2 linked regions of the Stegostoma tigrinum genome follow. The protein of the gene in region 1 purifies or fractionates together with the protein of each later gene. This does not show direct contact. Links are inferred from orthologs where the notes say so. Each region holds a gene or a part of one and is shown on either strand. Other genes may lie near its edges.

Evidence for each region.
Region 2: the proteins of zinc finger protein 346-like (region 1) and krr1 purify together in Homo sapiens (affinity purification with mass spectrometry; 3 studies listed by BioGRID and IntAct, with this or other methods). This does not show direct contact. The link is inferred for Stegostoma tigrinum from reciprocal best matches to the Homo sapiens genes ZNF346 and KRR1.

What each region holds. Positions count from the first base shown.
Region 1 is NC_081366.1:78,747,720-78,754,922, forward strand, and holds the start of zinc finger protein 346-like, read left to right. Parts: upstream 1-4,011; 5' UTR 4,012-4,078; coding exon 4,079-4,163; intron 4,164-7,203.
Region 2 is NC_081371.1:47,149,857-47,157,661, forward strand, and holds the start of krr1 (KRR1 small subunit processome component homolog), read right to left. Parts: upstream 3,190-7,805; 5' UTR 3,123-3,189; coding exon 3,068-3,122; intron 1-3,067. UniProt on the Homo sapiens protein: Part of the small subunit (SSU) processome, first precursor of the small eukaryotic ribosomal subunit.

The sequences.
Region 1 (7,203 bases):
ATGAAAAATTGGTAGAGTAGAGTAGCATAACAACAAAGAAGGTTACATCAGAGTACAATGGGACCTTGATCAGATGGGCCAATGGAGTTTAATTCAGATAAATATATGTTGTTACGTTTTGAAAAGGCAAATCAAGGCAGGACTAATACACTTAATGATGACGTCCTGGGGAATGTTGCTGAACAAACAGACCTTGGAATGCAGGTTCATCATTCCTTGAAAGGAGATTCAAAGGTAAACAGGATATTGAAGGTTTTGGTATGCTTGCCTTTATTGGTCAATTCATTGAGTATAGGGGTTGGGAGGTCATGTGTGGCTATACAGGACACTGGTTAAGCCACTTTTGGAATACTGCGTGCTATTCTGGTCTCCCTGGTATAGGAAGGATGTTGTGAAACTTGGAAGGATTCAGAAAAGATTTACAAGGATGTTGCCAGGGTTGGAGGGTTTGAGCTATAGGGAGAGGCTGAATAGGCTGGGGCTATCTTCCCCTGGAGTATTGGACGCTGAGAGGTGACCTTATAGCAGTTTATAAAATTACAAGGGGCATGAATAGGGTGAACAGTCAAGGTCTTTTCCCCAGTGTGGGGAAGTCCAAAACTAGAGGGCATAGGTTTAAGGTGAGAAGCGAAAGATTTAGAAGTGACACAAGAGGCAACATTTTCTTACAGAGAGTGGTTTGTGTATGAAATGAGCTGCCAGAGAAAGTGGTGGAGGCTGGTATAATTACAACATTTAAATGTAATCAGGATGAGGACATGGATAGGAAGGGTTTAGAGGGATATGGACCAAATGCTAGCAAATGGGACTAGATTAATTTAGGATACCTGGTCGGCATGGATGAGTGGACTGAAGGGTCTGTTTCCACGTTGTGCAGCTCTGAGTCTACAAGTAGGCCATTCAGCCTTTCGATGCCACTTCTTCATTCTACATGGCCATTGCTGATTATCCAATTCAGTGCCCTCATCCCACCTTCTCCCCATATCCTTTGATCCCTTTAGCCTGAAAAACAATCTCTAACTCCTTGAAAACACCTCAGTCCTAAATGGCCTACCTCTTGTCTTTAGACTATAACCTCTGGTCTTGGACTCCCTGGTCATCAGAACGCCCTTTCTGCATTTCCCCTATCTAATCTTGTCTGAATGGCCTTCAGCTTTTCAAAAGCTGTTTCAAAAGCTGACAACTGCGCTGAAACTTGAGATAAACTTTCGGTAAAAATCACATATTCCAAGAACCTCATAAGTTCCCATTTTGTTGTGGGAATCTGAAACTGCACTACTGCTTGTGTTATGACATAGAGATAGGTAGCTGAATCGAATCCACCTTTGTATTCACAACACAGTAACATTAAACCATCTAAATCACTCTGCTGGTTCACAACCAGGTTTTTGAACAAGCAATTCCAAACTTTGAAATTAATTAATTTTCTCAACACCAGTTCTGTAATTTAAACAAAAGATTTAACATTTTATTGAAAACAAAATTTATATTAGAAAAGAGAAAATAAAACATGGTGTGGTTATCAATATTAGTGCTTTAAACCCAAAACATTTGTTTCCAGCCCCCATTCACATGAACAATGGATAACAAACACAGTTAAGGGATAAATAAGCTAAAAAAAAGTGGCCAGATTACTCAATTGACTCATGATGCATTATCTCACAGGCATAAATGTGACTCTTTAGCTGTTTTTCTGAAACATCGATCAGGGTCATTTTCTCAGTTCACTCAGGCAAAAGCCACAATAATTCCAACTCAGCTTTCTACTCTTTAGGCAGGGAGCTTTCAAATCTTCACACTGTCTCAGCAGCATCCCTGGACCATCTCCCAGAAAACAGAGCTAAACAGAACACTGATTCTGGTTCTACCCTGATACTCTGAATGACTCCTCTTGAGGCCTCAATTACCATTAAACAACTGCCAATCTGCTTGAACATAGGCTTTCTTTCAGACTTGCCAGAACCAATTCCCAAGTACTGATCTCGTCGATAGCCAATTTCAGCTATCTGTGTAAACAAATGCTCTTTCTAGGGTTTGCTGCATCTGTTAGAACCTTTTTGAATCAAGTTTCAGCCTACAATTAGCCTCTTGGCCGGGCCTGTTTTCATAAACAAACAAAGCTTGTTTAGAGTCATAAAGTCATTGTGATGTACAACATGGAAACAGACACTTCGGTCCAACTCATTCATACCACCAGAGAACCTAAATAAATTAAGTCCCATTTGCCAGCACATGTACGCATGCAGAAACCTTTTAAATGTTATAATTCTAAGGCCCCTACAGCTCAGTCCATACCTGTGTCATCCTCTGAATGAAAAAAAATGCCTCTCAAGTCCCTTTTGAGTCTTTCCGCTCTCACCTTAAACCTATGCTGCCTAGTTTTGGGGTCCCCTAAGATGGGTGAAAGACCTTGGCTATTCGCTCTATCCTCGACCCTCATAGTCATTGCATTATCTTTTTGGTATTTAATGCAGATCCTCATGGAGCTATTTGGCTTGGCCGCAAGTACAACTGCAGGCCTTGTCTGGCTGTTACTAGATACTATCAGTTGGTGCTCCACCAGTCAAGCAAGAAACAAGAACAGGCCACTCAGCCCTTTGAGTCTACTCCAGCCTTCAATAAGATCGTCATTCATGTGATTTTAACTTCAAGTTTATATTCCTGCATATGATTTTTCATCTTCTTGGTAATCAAGAATCTATCACCTTTGTCTTAAAAATAGTTGCAAGATTCTGCCTCCACTGTCTTTTGAGGAATGGAATTCCAAACACTCCAAGAGAAATGTGTTCCTCTGTCTTAAATAAATGAACCCCTACTTTTAACCTATGACCCCTAGTTTTACATTTTCCCACAAGAGGAAACATCCTATACACATCTACCTGATCGAGTTCCTTCAGGATCTTAAATGTTTCTATTAAGTCATTTCTGACTCTTCTAAATGCCTGCCGAGCCTTCCTCATAAGGCAATCCCCTCATTCCCGGTATTAATCTAGTGAATGCCCTCTGAACTGCTTTCATCACATTGACATCCTTTTGCTGGTACCATGACTAGTGACGCAGTCTCATCAATGCCTTGTAAAATTGAAGTATAACCTCCCTATTCTTGCTTTCAATTACCCTCACATTACAACATTACATTCTGTTATGTTTCCAAATTACTTGCTGTACCTGCATACTAACCTTCATGCATCAGGATACTCAGAGTCTCTTAACATCTCAGAGCTCTGTAAAATCTTACCATTTAGAAAATATGCTTTTTATTTTTTTCCCCCACTTTGCCACATTACATCTTATTTGCCGGACCTTAGACCACTCACTTACCCCACCTAATTAGTTTTGTAGGCTGTTTATGTCCTCTTAACACACTTTCCTACCTACTTTCTGTCATCAGCAAAATTAGCTACACGTCCCTTTGTCCAAACTTTAATTTAAATATTCTATTCCTAGACATACTCAGATATTAGCAAATAGTTATAGACAACATCAAACTGGATTCTATTAGAGTTGATATTGTGCTTTTCAATCGTTTATAATTAGAAAAAAAACTGCCAAAGTTTAAACACATTTCCCCAGATTCGCTGAGCAACTTTCCAACTTGTTTCACTGTCTCAGTCAAGGGAATTAATACCTCAGCTGCTTGTGGTGAAGGTGTTTTCCCATCCAACCACTCGGCTACGTTATTACACACACATTTGCAACAGGTGGGGCATTAACACGGGTCTCCTGTCTCCGATGCAGGGACACTACCGGCAGCTCCAGCCGAGCTCGGACCGTTCCTGCCGCGGGGCAGCTCCGAGCGCGTCCACGCTGCCGCACGCGCGGCGCCGGCCCGTTGCCGCGGCAACGCCGTCCGCTGACGTCGGCGCGGCCACGAACTTTCTGGAAAGCGGCGGGCGATGTCTCGCGCGGCTCGGCTGTGTTGACGCGAGATCTGCTGAGGGCAGGGGGCTGGCTCGGTGTGTGCCTGTGCTGGGGGGGGCAAGGGGGCAAGTCCGGGGTTTAGAGAGAGGGAGGGAGGGAGGAGGGGGGTTGAGGGTTTATTTTAAAACTAAGAGAAAAGCTGGGGACTCCGGCAGCGATGGCGGCGGAGAGACCGATCCCTCAGCTGATGGAAAGCTTCAAACCAGCCGGTGCCGGCGACACCTCGACTGGCAACGGGGCTGGTAAGCGCCGCCCAGCCATGAGCACCGTGCATTATGGGGGAGGGGGGAGGCAGCGTCGTGCATTCGGTTAAAAGGGGGGAGGGGGGTAAATAGCAAAGATTCCTCGCTGTGGCCGAGAGCTTCGTGCATCGGTACCTCCCCGTACACAGCATGATTCTCCCCACCCCCTCGCCCCCCCCTCCCCCCACCCCCCTCGCCCCCCCCTCCCCCCACCCCCTCGCCCCCCCCCCACCCCCTCGCCCCCCCCCCTCCCCTCGCCCCCCCTCCCCTCGCCCCCCCCCCTCCCCTCGCCCCCCCCTCCCCCCTCGCCCCCCCCTCCCCCCTCCCCCCCCCCCTCCCCCCTCCCCCCCCTCCCCTCGCCCCCCCCTCCCCTCGCCCCCCACTCCCCCCTCCCCTCGCCTCGCCCTCCCCTCGCCCCCCCGCCCCTCGCCCCCTCGCCCCCCCGCCCCTCCCCTCGCCCCCTCCCCTCGCCCCCCTCCCCTCGCCCCCCTCCCCTCGCCCCCCTCCCCTCGCCCCCCCTCCCCTCGCCCCCCCCTCCCCCCCTCCCCCCTCCCCTCCCCCCCTCCCCCCCCCTCGCCCCCTCTCTCCCCCCCTCTCCCCTCTCCCCCCCCTCGCCCTACCCCCCCCTCGCCCTCCCCCCCCTCGCCCTCCCCCCCCTCGCCCTCCCCCCCCCCTCGCCCTCCCCCCCCCCTCGCCCTCCCCCCCTCGCCCTCCCCCCCTCCCCCTCCCCCCCTCCCCCCCCTCGCCCTCCCCCCCCTCCCTCTCCCCCCCCTCCCTCCCCCCCCCTCCCTCTCCCCCCCCTCCCTCTCCCCCCCTCCCTCTCCCCCCCTCCCTCTCCCCCCCTCCCTCTCCCCCCCTCCCTCTCCCCCCCCTCCCTCTCCCCCCCCTCCCTCTCCCCCCCCCTCCCTCTCCCCCCCCCCCCTCTCCCCCCCCCCTCTCCCCCCCCCCCTCTCCCCTCTCCCTCTTCCCCTCTCCCCCTCTCCCTCTCCCCCTCTCCCCCTTCTCCCTCTCCCCCCCTCCCTCTCCCCCCCTCCCTCTCCCCCCCTCCCTCTCCCCCCCTCCCTCTCCCCCCCTCCCTCTCCCCCCCTCCCTCTCCCCCCTCCCTCTCCCCCCTCCCTCTCCCCCCCTCCCTCTCCCCCCTCCCTCTCCCCCCTCCCTCTCCCCCCCTCCCTCTTCCCCCTCTCCCTCTTCCCCCTCTCCCCCCTCCCTCTTCCCCCTCTCCCCCCTCCCTCTTCCCCCTCTCCCCCCCTCCCTCTTCCCCCTCTCCCCCCCTCCCTCTTCCCCCTCTCCCCCCCTCCCTCTTCCCCCTCTCCCCCCCTCCCTCTTCCCCCTCTCCCCCCCTCCCTCTTCCCCCTCTCCCCCCCTCCCTCTTCCCCCTCTCCCCCCCCCCTCCCCCCCCTTCCCCCTCCCCCCCTTCCCCCTCCCCCCCTTCCCCCTCCCCCCCTTCCCCCTCCCCCCCTTCCCCCTCCCCCCCTTCCCCCTCCCCCCGTTCCCCCTCCCCCCCTTCCCCCTCCCCCCCTTCCCCCCCTTCCCCCTCCCCCCCTTCCCCCCCTTCCCCCTCCCCCCGTTCCCCCCCTTCCCCCTCCCCCCCTTCCCCCTCCCCCCCTTCCCCCTCCCCCCCTTCCCCCTCCCCCCCTTCCCCCTCCCCCCCTTCCCCCCCTTCCCCCTCCCCCCCTTCCCCCTCCCCCCCTTCCCCCTTCCCCCTCCCCCCCTTCCCCCTCCCCCCCTTCCCCCTCCCCCCCTTCCCCCTCCCCCCCTTCCCCCTCCCCCCCTTCCCCCTCCCCCCCGTCCCCCCCCCCGTCGTCCCCCCCCCGTCGTCCCCCCCCCGTCGTCCCCCCCCCCCCGTCGTCCCCCCCCCCGTCGTCCCCCCCCCCCCGTCGTCCCCCCCCCCGTCGTCCCCCCCCCCCGTCGTCCCCCCCCCCGTCGTCCCCCCCCCCCGTCGTCCCCCCCCCCCGTCGTCCCCCCCCCCCGTCGTCGTCCCCCCCCCCCGTCGTCCCCCCCCCCCGTCGTCCCCCCCCCCCCGTCGTCCCCCCCCCCCCGTCGTCCCCCCCCCCCCGTCGTCCCCCCCCCCCCCCCCCCCCCCGTCGTCCCCCCCCCCGTCGTCGTCCCCCCCCCCCCGTCGTCGTCCCCCCCCCGTCCCCCCCCCCCCCGTCGTCCCCCCCCCCCCCGTCGTCCCCCCCCCCCGTCGTCCCCCCCCCGTCGTCCCCCCTCCCCCTCCCGCCCCCCCCCTCCCCCTCGTCGTCCCGCCCTCCCGCCCCCCCTCCCCCCCGCCCCCCCTCCCCCTCGTCCCCCCCTCCCCCTCGTCCCCCCCCTCCCCCTCGTCCCCCCCTCCCCCTCGTCCCCCCCTCCCCCTCGTCCCCCCCTCCCCCTCGTCCCCCCCTCCCCCCCCTCTCCCCCCCTCTCCCCCCCTCCCCCCCCCTCTCCCCCCCCCCTCGTCCCCCCCCTCCCTGTCCCCCCCTCCCCCTCGTCCCCCCCCTCCCCCTCGTCCCCCCCCTCCCCCTCGTCCCCCCCTCCCCCTCGTCCCCCCCTCCCCCTCGTCCCCCCCCTCCCCCTCGTCCCCCCCCTCCCCCTCGTCCCCCCCCTCCCCCTCGTCCCCCCCCTCCCCCTCGTCCCCCCCCTCCCCCTCGTCCCCCCCCTCCCCCTCGTCCCCCCCCTCCCCCTCGTCCCCCCCCTCCCCCTCGTCCCCCCCCTCCCCCTCGCCTCTCCCCCTCTCCCCCTCTCCCCTTCCTGCCTCCCTCTTCGCTTGCATCGAGCACCTTCCTCTGTTTCTATAAAGAGAAACACACATAAAACTGCGATTGCTGCTGCAAATAATTCAGCAAACACCACCCCCCTCCGCCGACCCCTGCAACTAACATTGAGGTCAGTCGCTTTTTGTTCAGGCAGCTGCAGAACCAGGGGGACATGTAAAACAAACAGAAACAAAATGCCTCGTGCAGGCCAGGTAGTTCTCATGTTTCAGGTCGATGGCCTTGCTTCAGTTCACAACCACTCCGCACCAACCTGAGCTGCCCGGATTTATTCCCCCCCGGAAAAACAC
Region 2 (7,805 bases), on another chromosome or scaffold:
TGTTCTTTCAGAGTGTTTTCTTCTCACACTCCCTCTCTCAAGTGCTGTTGCTCGAAGAGACAGTAGAGCTGCGATTATGTTAGTGGGTGTCTGGTGCAGACCACTGACGATCAGAATGGAGGAGATATGCTGCAAATTACAGTCTTGAGAGAATTACTTTACTTGCAAGAGAAGTGCATGAACAATGAAGTCATTGTACTGAAGCATTGCTTCCAATGCCAATTCCGACTGTGATCCCATTTCAAGGCTTAAAAATGATCATCTGACTCAGTGGGCTGTAGGGGGTGGGCAAGGAGGGAGGAGGAGAAGACCAATGAGAGTGTAGATCAGTGATGTAGGTCATTGCTACCTGAACTCATGATTTTGTTCAAGGTGCCAAACCCCATTTAAGAAGCCCTGTAATAGGGGATATTATTGATCCTCATGTAGATGAGGACAGTAAAGGCAGAGTGGGAAGAGAATTTCAGAAATGTGTTTGGGAAAACTCAATGGGCTATGGAGTTTCTTCTGTATTGTACGATTCTTCAACTGTACTCTTCAGGAAATAAGTCGGGGCAAATGTCAGTTAGGGAACTTTTGGAGAACCACAATCATAGTATTAAAATGTTCAAACTGGAGCAATTAAAAATATAAACACTGAATTGGACAAGGGACAGTTTCAGTGGGTCAAGAACAGATACAAATCAGACAAACTAGGATTAATGATTTGCATGCAAAACTTCAATGTAGCAATGGGTTGTCCTTAAAGATGAGAAAAACACAGTCCAGTGGCACATTACCACAAGGGCCAACCAGTAGTACAAAAAAAGTGAGAGGCCCCAATTTACAAAAGATTGACAATCGGAAAATGACATAACAACTATCAGGTTAATAACAGAAGTGAAAATCAGGATAATTTTAGAAAGTTTAGATGTAAAGTGAGAAAAGAAGTGCAGCAAAGAGATTGAATAAAGTAAAAACTAGTAATTAACGAAAAAGAAAAGAATCCAGAAGTTTCTGATAAGTACACAAGCAGTAAAAGTGTAAGAAGAGTAAAACCTAATTAAGGATTAAAGCACGAATGCTAAGAATACTTTGAATCAGTCTTTATCAAGGAAGATGCTGTTAGTAAAGTCATAGTGAAAGAGGAGTTAAGCAGGATCGTGGATACGTACAGATGTTGACAAAGAGATGCAGTAAGAAAGGATGAAAAGGTGGTAAGTCACGAGGATGCATCCATAGATGATGGAAGTAGTGGAGAAAACTGAGGTGATATTGGCCATAATCTCAACCTCAACAAATACTGGAGTATCTCAGAGGTATACTGGATAACTGCAACTGTTGCACCCTTGCTCAAAAAGGATGTAAAAGATAAATCTAGTGACAACAGACCAGTCAGTTTAAAGTGAGTGATGGGAACGAGTTTAGAACTGATAATCCTGGGCAAAATTAACACGCACTGAACAAATGATCACATAATAGTTATGGCACAGAAGGAAGCCATTTGGCCAATCATAAGAGAGACAGAATATAAAAGCAAGGTGGTTTTGATGGCAGGTTCTTCATTAGAGGCTATCATGGGAAGTCTTGACACTGGCATGACTTTTGATAAACCACTATAAAACACTGGTTCCCTTTTAACTGGAGTATAATGGCCTATCCTCAGCATCACGTTCTGGAATAGAAGTGAAGGGTTTGGAAAAAATAATGAGAATGATTTCATGGATGAAGAAATTCAGCTGGGTGGGGGGGGGGGGCGCTGTGGAGATGGTGATGTCACGGTTAAATCGCTGGGTTAGTGATCCAGAGACCTAGGCCAGTGTGCTGGTGACATGGGCCCAAATCCCGAAGTGGCACCTGGTGGAATTTAAATTTCGGCAGTTATATTTGGAATTATAAGCTGGTCTCAGTAATGGTGACCAGAGAACTAATCAATTGTTGTAAAAACACATCTGGTTCACTAACATCCTTACCCAATCAGGCCTACATGTGCCTTGGAGTAATGTGGTCGATTCTTAACTGGCCTCTCAGAGGTCATGTCTCGCCAGAACTCTCTTCCTGAAAAGGCAGTGAAGCAGATTCCTTGACTATTTTTAAGATAGAGGTAGAGAGTTTGTTGTTCTGCAAGGAATTGAAAGGCTGTCAGTTGTAACTGTGAATGTGAATGAGGTTTCAATCAGAAAGCTATGATCTCATTAAATGGCAGAATAGGTTTGAATAGCTGAATGGCCTACTCCTGTTCTGATTCATATACTACTTCAAGCAATTCAAAGGAGGTGCAACAAACGTTGGCCTTACCAATGGTACCTGCTCATGAAGAATAATGAATAAAGACTGGAAATGCTTAGGCTGTTAAGTTGAGGAGAAATTTCACCAAGGTGTTCAAATTCAAGAGCAGTCTGGGCAGGGTAAATTGAAGAAATTGTCCCCTTTAAATAAGGGCACTTATTTAAAGTGATGGTGAGAAATATCAATGCCAGCACGACAAGATCAAAAATTTTAGGATCTGGACAGTAAGTATAGTGACAAATGAGGGTAATTTTTAAGCGGAAACCTGGTTTGGCAGCAGTTTAGGTCGCGGAGTGATGGAGAAGCTCGTTAAAACGAGTGACTCTGCTCAGGAACATTTCAGGAATCAACTTCCGAATCAGGATAAAGTAAACGGCAACAAAGACTTCACAAAATCTTCGTCCACCGGGTCTACGCATCCCCCCCGCCCCGGACCCAACCTAACCCACAAATGGAGCCTCCCCCAAGGCCAGGCCGGCTTCAGAAATCCCCAACAAAAACAGAAATCACTGAAATTCCGAAGGAGAGTCACTGGGCCCGAAACACTAACTTTGTTTCTCTCACCACAGATGCTGCCAGAAACCTGGTGAGCTCCTCGAGCTCAGTTTCTGAAGGTGGGTCGAGGCCCGAACCATCAGCCTTCCTGCTCGGCTCCTCCAGCTCTACACCTTGTTACCTCAGATTCTCCAGCAATTTGGTTTTTACTTCAGATTTCCACAACTCTTTGTATGTTTTTTTTTGGTTCAGAAATCCTCCCCAACCCCGCCGCAGACCTGACCTCCTCCAATTCTTCATTTACCTTTATCTTTATCATCATTTTTACCGGCTCTCCTTGGACCAGGAGCGACCTCCATGGCGGCCCGGCGCTCAATACCTCCCCCCACGGACACACTTCCGCCGGTCCGCCACTCAATACCTCCCCCCACGGACACACTTCCGCCGGTCCGCCACTCAATACCTCCCCCCACGGACACACTTCCGCCGGTCCGCCACTCTATGCCTCCCCCCCCCAAAAAAAACGGACACTGCTTGCAGTATGGCGCTGGATGTTATTTGGGTGACAGCAGCCGGCAGTTTATGGATCCCGTCGACGTCTTGTTGTGAAGTTTATTAAAAATAATTTTTTCTGTGGCTATTATGTTGCGTCGGAAACAGGAGAATTGATAGGTTCAAGACCCAATCCAGAGTCTTGAGCCCATAACTGATGCAGTCTTCGCAGATTTTATATAAAATCCAAAATCTGCTTTCTAAAGGCGACTTTTGACACGTTAGGAGGCCCACTGTATCGAGGTTGACAGTCCACATCCAGCACTATCAGAGCTGACACATCTTGCAGATGTGAAAGATCTCAGAGCAACTACCTCCCTTTGGCAGATGGAGTCTAATGCGTGAAAATGTGAACTCGTCCCTTTGGCAGGAAGAACAGAACAGCAGGAGAAAACCTACACTTCAAAAAGTACTTCCCATCCTAGGGAAGGTTGAGAGATTAGATAAAAGTGTTCACAAATAACGAGGGGAACTAGTCAAGGTAGATAGAGACTTGAAACTCGTACAAAGGTCGAGATCCAGAGAATACCAAGACAAGATGATCGGCAGAAAAGCAACAAAAAAGTGAAACCCCTTTTTGTGTAGAAAATGGTTAGGATTTGGATGCACTGCCTCAAGGCATTGTGGGTGCATACTCAATCATGCTTTCAGCTCATCTAACTCTCCAGTTTAGTATAGATCAGGTCATTTTTCAGTCCAAGTACTTGCAGTGATTTCTTACTGACAGGAATTGGAACTAAAATGCTGAAACCATTCTCCTGAATATTAGTGGAATTAACAGCATGCTTTTATTCAGGGCAGCCAGCATCTTTTGCACCACTGATGCTGCCTAGCCAACATTTGACAATTTTTAATTCAGTTTTCCAACATCTGCAATATTTTACTTTTGTACTAAGATGACTTACATGGCTCTTGAGTCCTGAAGGGTTCAAGTCCTGTCAAGTGTAAATCTGAGACAACACAATGTGGAACTGGAGGAACACAGCAGGTCAGGCAACATCAGAAAGTTGATGTTTTGGGTTGGAACCCCTTTAAGAGTTCTGAAGAAGGGCCCTGACCCGAAAAATCAATTTTCCTACTCCTCTGATACTACCTGACCTGCTGTGTTCCCCTAGCTTCACAATGTGTTTTCTCTGCCTTCAGCATCTGCAGTTCTTGCTATCTCCAAGTCTAAGTCTGATAGATCTTTATAAAACAAGGCAAGTACAACAGACATGCATCATTCCAATAGTTAACTGAACAGCCAGCATGTACCCAAATTTGTATTATTCTTCCAAAAGAAGTGGGAGTCACTGGCAAGGCAAGTATTAGTTGTCCATCTCTAAATGCCTTTAAACTGAATGGTCTGTTAGACCATTTCAGAGTGCAGTAAAGAATCAACCGCATTGCTGCAATTTCGAAATTTTATATGGGCCAGACCTAAAGGACATTAGCAACTCACATAGGTTATCTTTCAACACTTTATGATAGTTTCATTATTTGTATTCTGTTTCAGGTATTAGAAGGAGCAAGTATGAGAAGAAATCAGCCTCACACGAGGAATTCACACTAATGATAGCTACTGACCATACTTGCTAAAATTGTTCATGTGAACAATAGTTTCCAAAAATATCTGTGCAGGGAGAGACCAACAAATACATCAATCACATGACAGAGGAGTAACTGAGGAAAGGGAAGGATCCCAGTAGAAGTCAAATTTAGTAAAAGACTGATTGCAATCAAAATATACTGTGAATTACAACTAGTATTCACTGTCAATATCACTTTTTTTAAAATTTTGTGTTTGTTTTTAAAATACTGTGGACTGAAATGACAGTTGTTTTAAAATTAATGTTTGAAAGGGTAGTATATTTTGAAAATAAATAACTATTGTAGGCATTGTGTAAATAACTGTTGAACAAGCAGTAATTGAAGTTTGGGAGAGCAGCATGATAGTTCAGTGGTTAGCACTGCTGCCTTATAATGCGAGGGATCTGGGTTCAATTCCACCCTCAGGTGGCTGCCTTGTAGTTTGCACAATCTCTGAAGGGTTTCCTCCCACAATCCAAAGATGTGCAGGTTGAAACTAAACTGCTAAATTGCCCATAGTGTCCAGGGATTTAAGGCTAATAGGAAATGCAGGTTACAAGGATGGGGCTGGGTGCCCCTGGGTGGGATGCTCTTCAGAATGCTAGTGTGGACCTGATAGGCCAAATAGGTTGCTTACATGCAGTAGGGATTCTCTTTTATCAGATTCAATGATTTGAGGCTGAGGACAGTGCTGATGCAACTTTTGGCAACAAGAATTTGGTTAATCTATGGACTAGTAAACTGTTATTGATGACAGAGGCATTTTTGCTGCTAACAGGTAACAACTTAGAACTGGGAATAAGTTACAGAAAGAGAGAAGTGTTCAGTTTTTCCCCAGCTGGGAGGAGTAGCTTGTTATTTTCTTTGCAGTTAAAACTCCCTGTAAACGTGAAGAACATGACCTTCAATAGTTGTTTCCTACAGTGTTTCAGCAAAGCTCAGCGCAAGCTGGAAGAACAACGCCTCATTTTCCGCTTGGGGACCCTGCAGCCCTCCTAACTCAATATCGAGTTCAATAATTTCAGGGTCTAAACTCTCCCATGTCCCTGCCCCCTACCTCACACATCAGGCCCTGTTATCACATAGCCTGCCATTACACACAGCCTGTTGTTTGTCACTAACAGTCCCCATTAACAACTATTGACCCTCCTAACCAGATCATTATCAACTCCTTTATCTGTCCAACTGTTCATCTCTCTCTTTCAGCTCTATCCTATTGTTTTCTCTATACCCCACCCCGTCCCTATTTCCTGCATATACACTGACATTTTCCCAGCTCCCATCAGTTCTGAGAAAGGGTAATTAGACCCTAAACATTAACTCTGACATTTTTCTTCACAGATGCTGCCAGATATACTGAGCTTTACCAGCAACTCTGTTTTTGTTCCTGACTTACAGCGTCCGCAGCTCTTTCGGTTTTTATTCAATAGTTGTTGTAAGATGTGAGATTTAACTGAAAAGTCAAATACTTTGAGTGAACCAACCACTTTTGTGCCTCTTACTACCCAGTGGAAGCATCTAGAGAAAGATGACTGAAGCAGTGTGCTGACCAGAAGAGAAATAAGGATCACCTTAACAACAGAAGCTGGAAAAACACAGCAGGTCTGGCAGCATCTGTGGTGAGAAAGTAGAGCTAATGTTTTGGCGCCAGTGACCTTTCTTCAGAATGTTGTGCAGAAAGGGTTACTGAACCTAAAATGTTAACTCAGACTGAAGGAGCATAATCTTAAAATTTGAGCCAGGTCCTTCAGATGCAATGTCAGGAAACTCGTTTTCACATGAAGAGGAGTGAAAATCTGGATTTCTCTCCCCAAAGATCTCTTTTAAGTTCAGGAGTGACAATTAAAAATGTTGAGATTCAGAAATAGGGAACGCAGAAGCTATTGACAGAATTGAAACTAAGGATAGCAGTTTTAAACTCAATTCATTATTTAAATAAAACAGGTTTGTTAGGTCAGGATAGAAGGTCAATTTTACTTGGTGTGAGATCGGACACGGGTAGGTGAGCTGAAGTTTACAATCATAGGAGGTCAGCCAGGGTATTGCAATATCCATCTGGAGGTAACTGACCTATGGATGAAGGTTTCATGGGCTGAAGCATGGGGATGTTAAGGGACATTATAATATGGAAGTAATTCTTTGGCTGGTCAAAAAGGACACCAGGATTGTGAAGCATCCAAAATTCTTACAGGAGTCAATGGTCCTGGGGTAGCGGAGGCTGAGACGGCTCTTATCGAGGTTTATAAAATCATGAGGGGTGTGGATAGGCTGACTAACCAATGTCTTTTTCTTACGGCAGGGATTCCAAAACTAGACGGGCTGGGTTTAAGGTGAGAAGGGAAAGATTTAAAAGGGATGTAAGGGGCAACTTTAACACACAGAGGGTGGAGTGTGTTTGGAATGGATTGCCAGTGGAAAGGTTTTTTTTTATTCATTCACAGGATGAGGGTGTCATTGGCCAGGCAGCATTTATTGCTCATTCCTAATTGTCCAGAGGACAGTTAAGAGTCAGCAACGTTGCTGTGGGGCTGGAGTCACATGTAGGCCAGACCAGGTAAGGATGGCTGTTTCCTTCCCTAAAGGACATGAGTGAACCCAATGGGTTTTTCTCCCAACAATCAACATTTGGTTTCATGCTTATCATTAGATTCTTAATCCCAAATATTTATTGAATAGAAATTCCACCATCTACCATGGCAGGATTTGAACCCAGGTCCGCAGAATGTTATCTGGGTCTCTGGGTTAACATTGCAGCAATAATACCGCTAGGCCATTGCTCCCAATGGTGGAGGCTGATATCTTTTAAATATTGTAACTGTATCTGGACAGGTACATGAATAGGAAGGGCCTAAAGGGATAAGGGTCAGATGCTGGCAAATGGGACTAGATCAGTTTAGCATATTTGGTTGGTGCAGACGAGT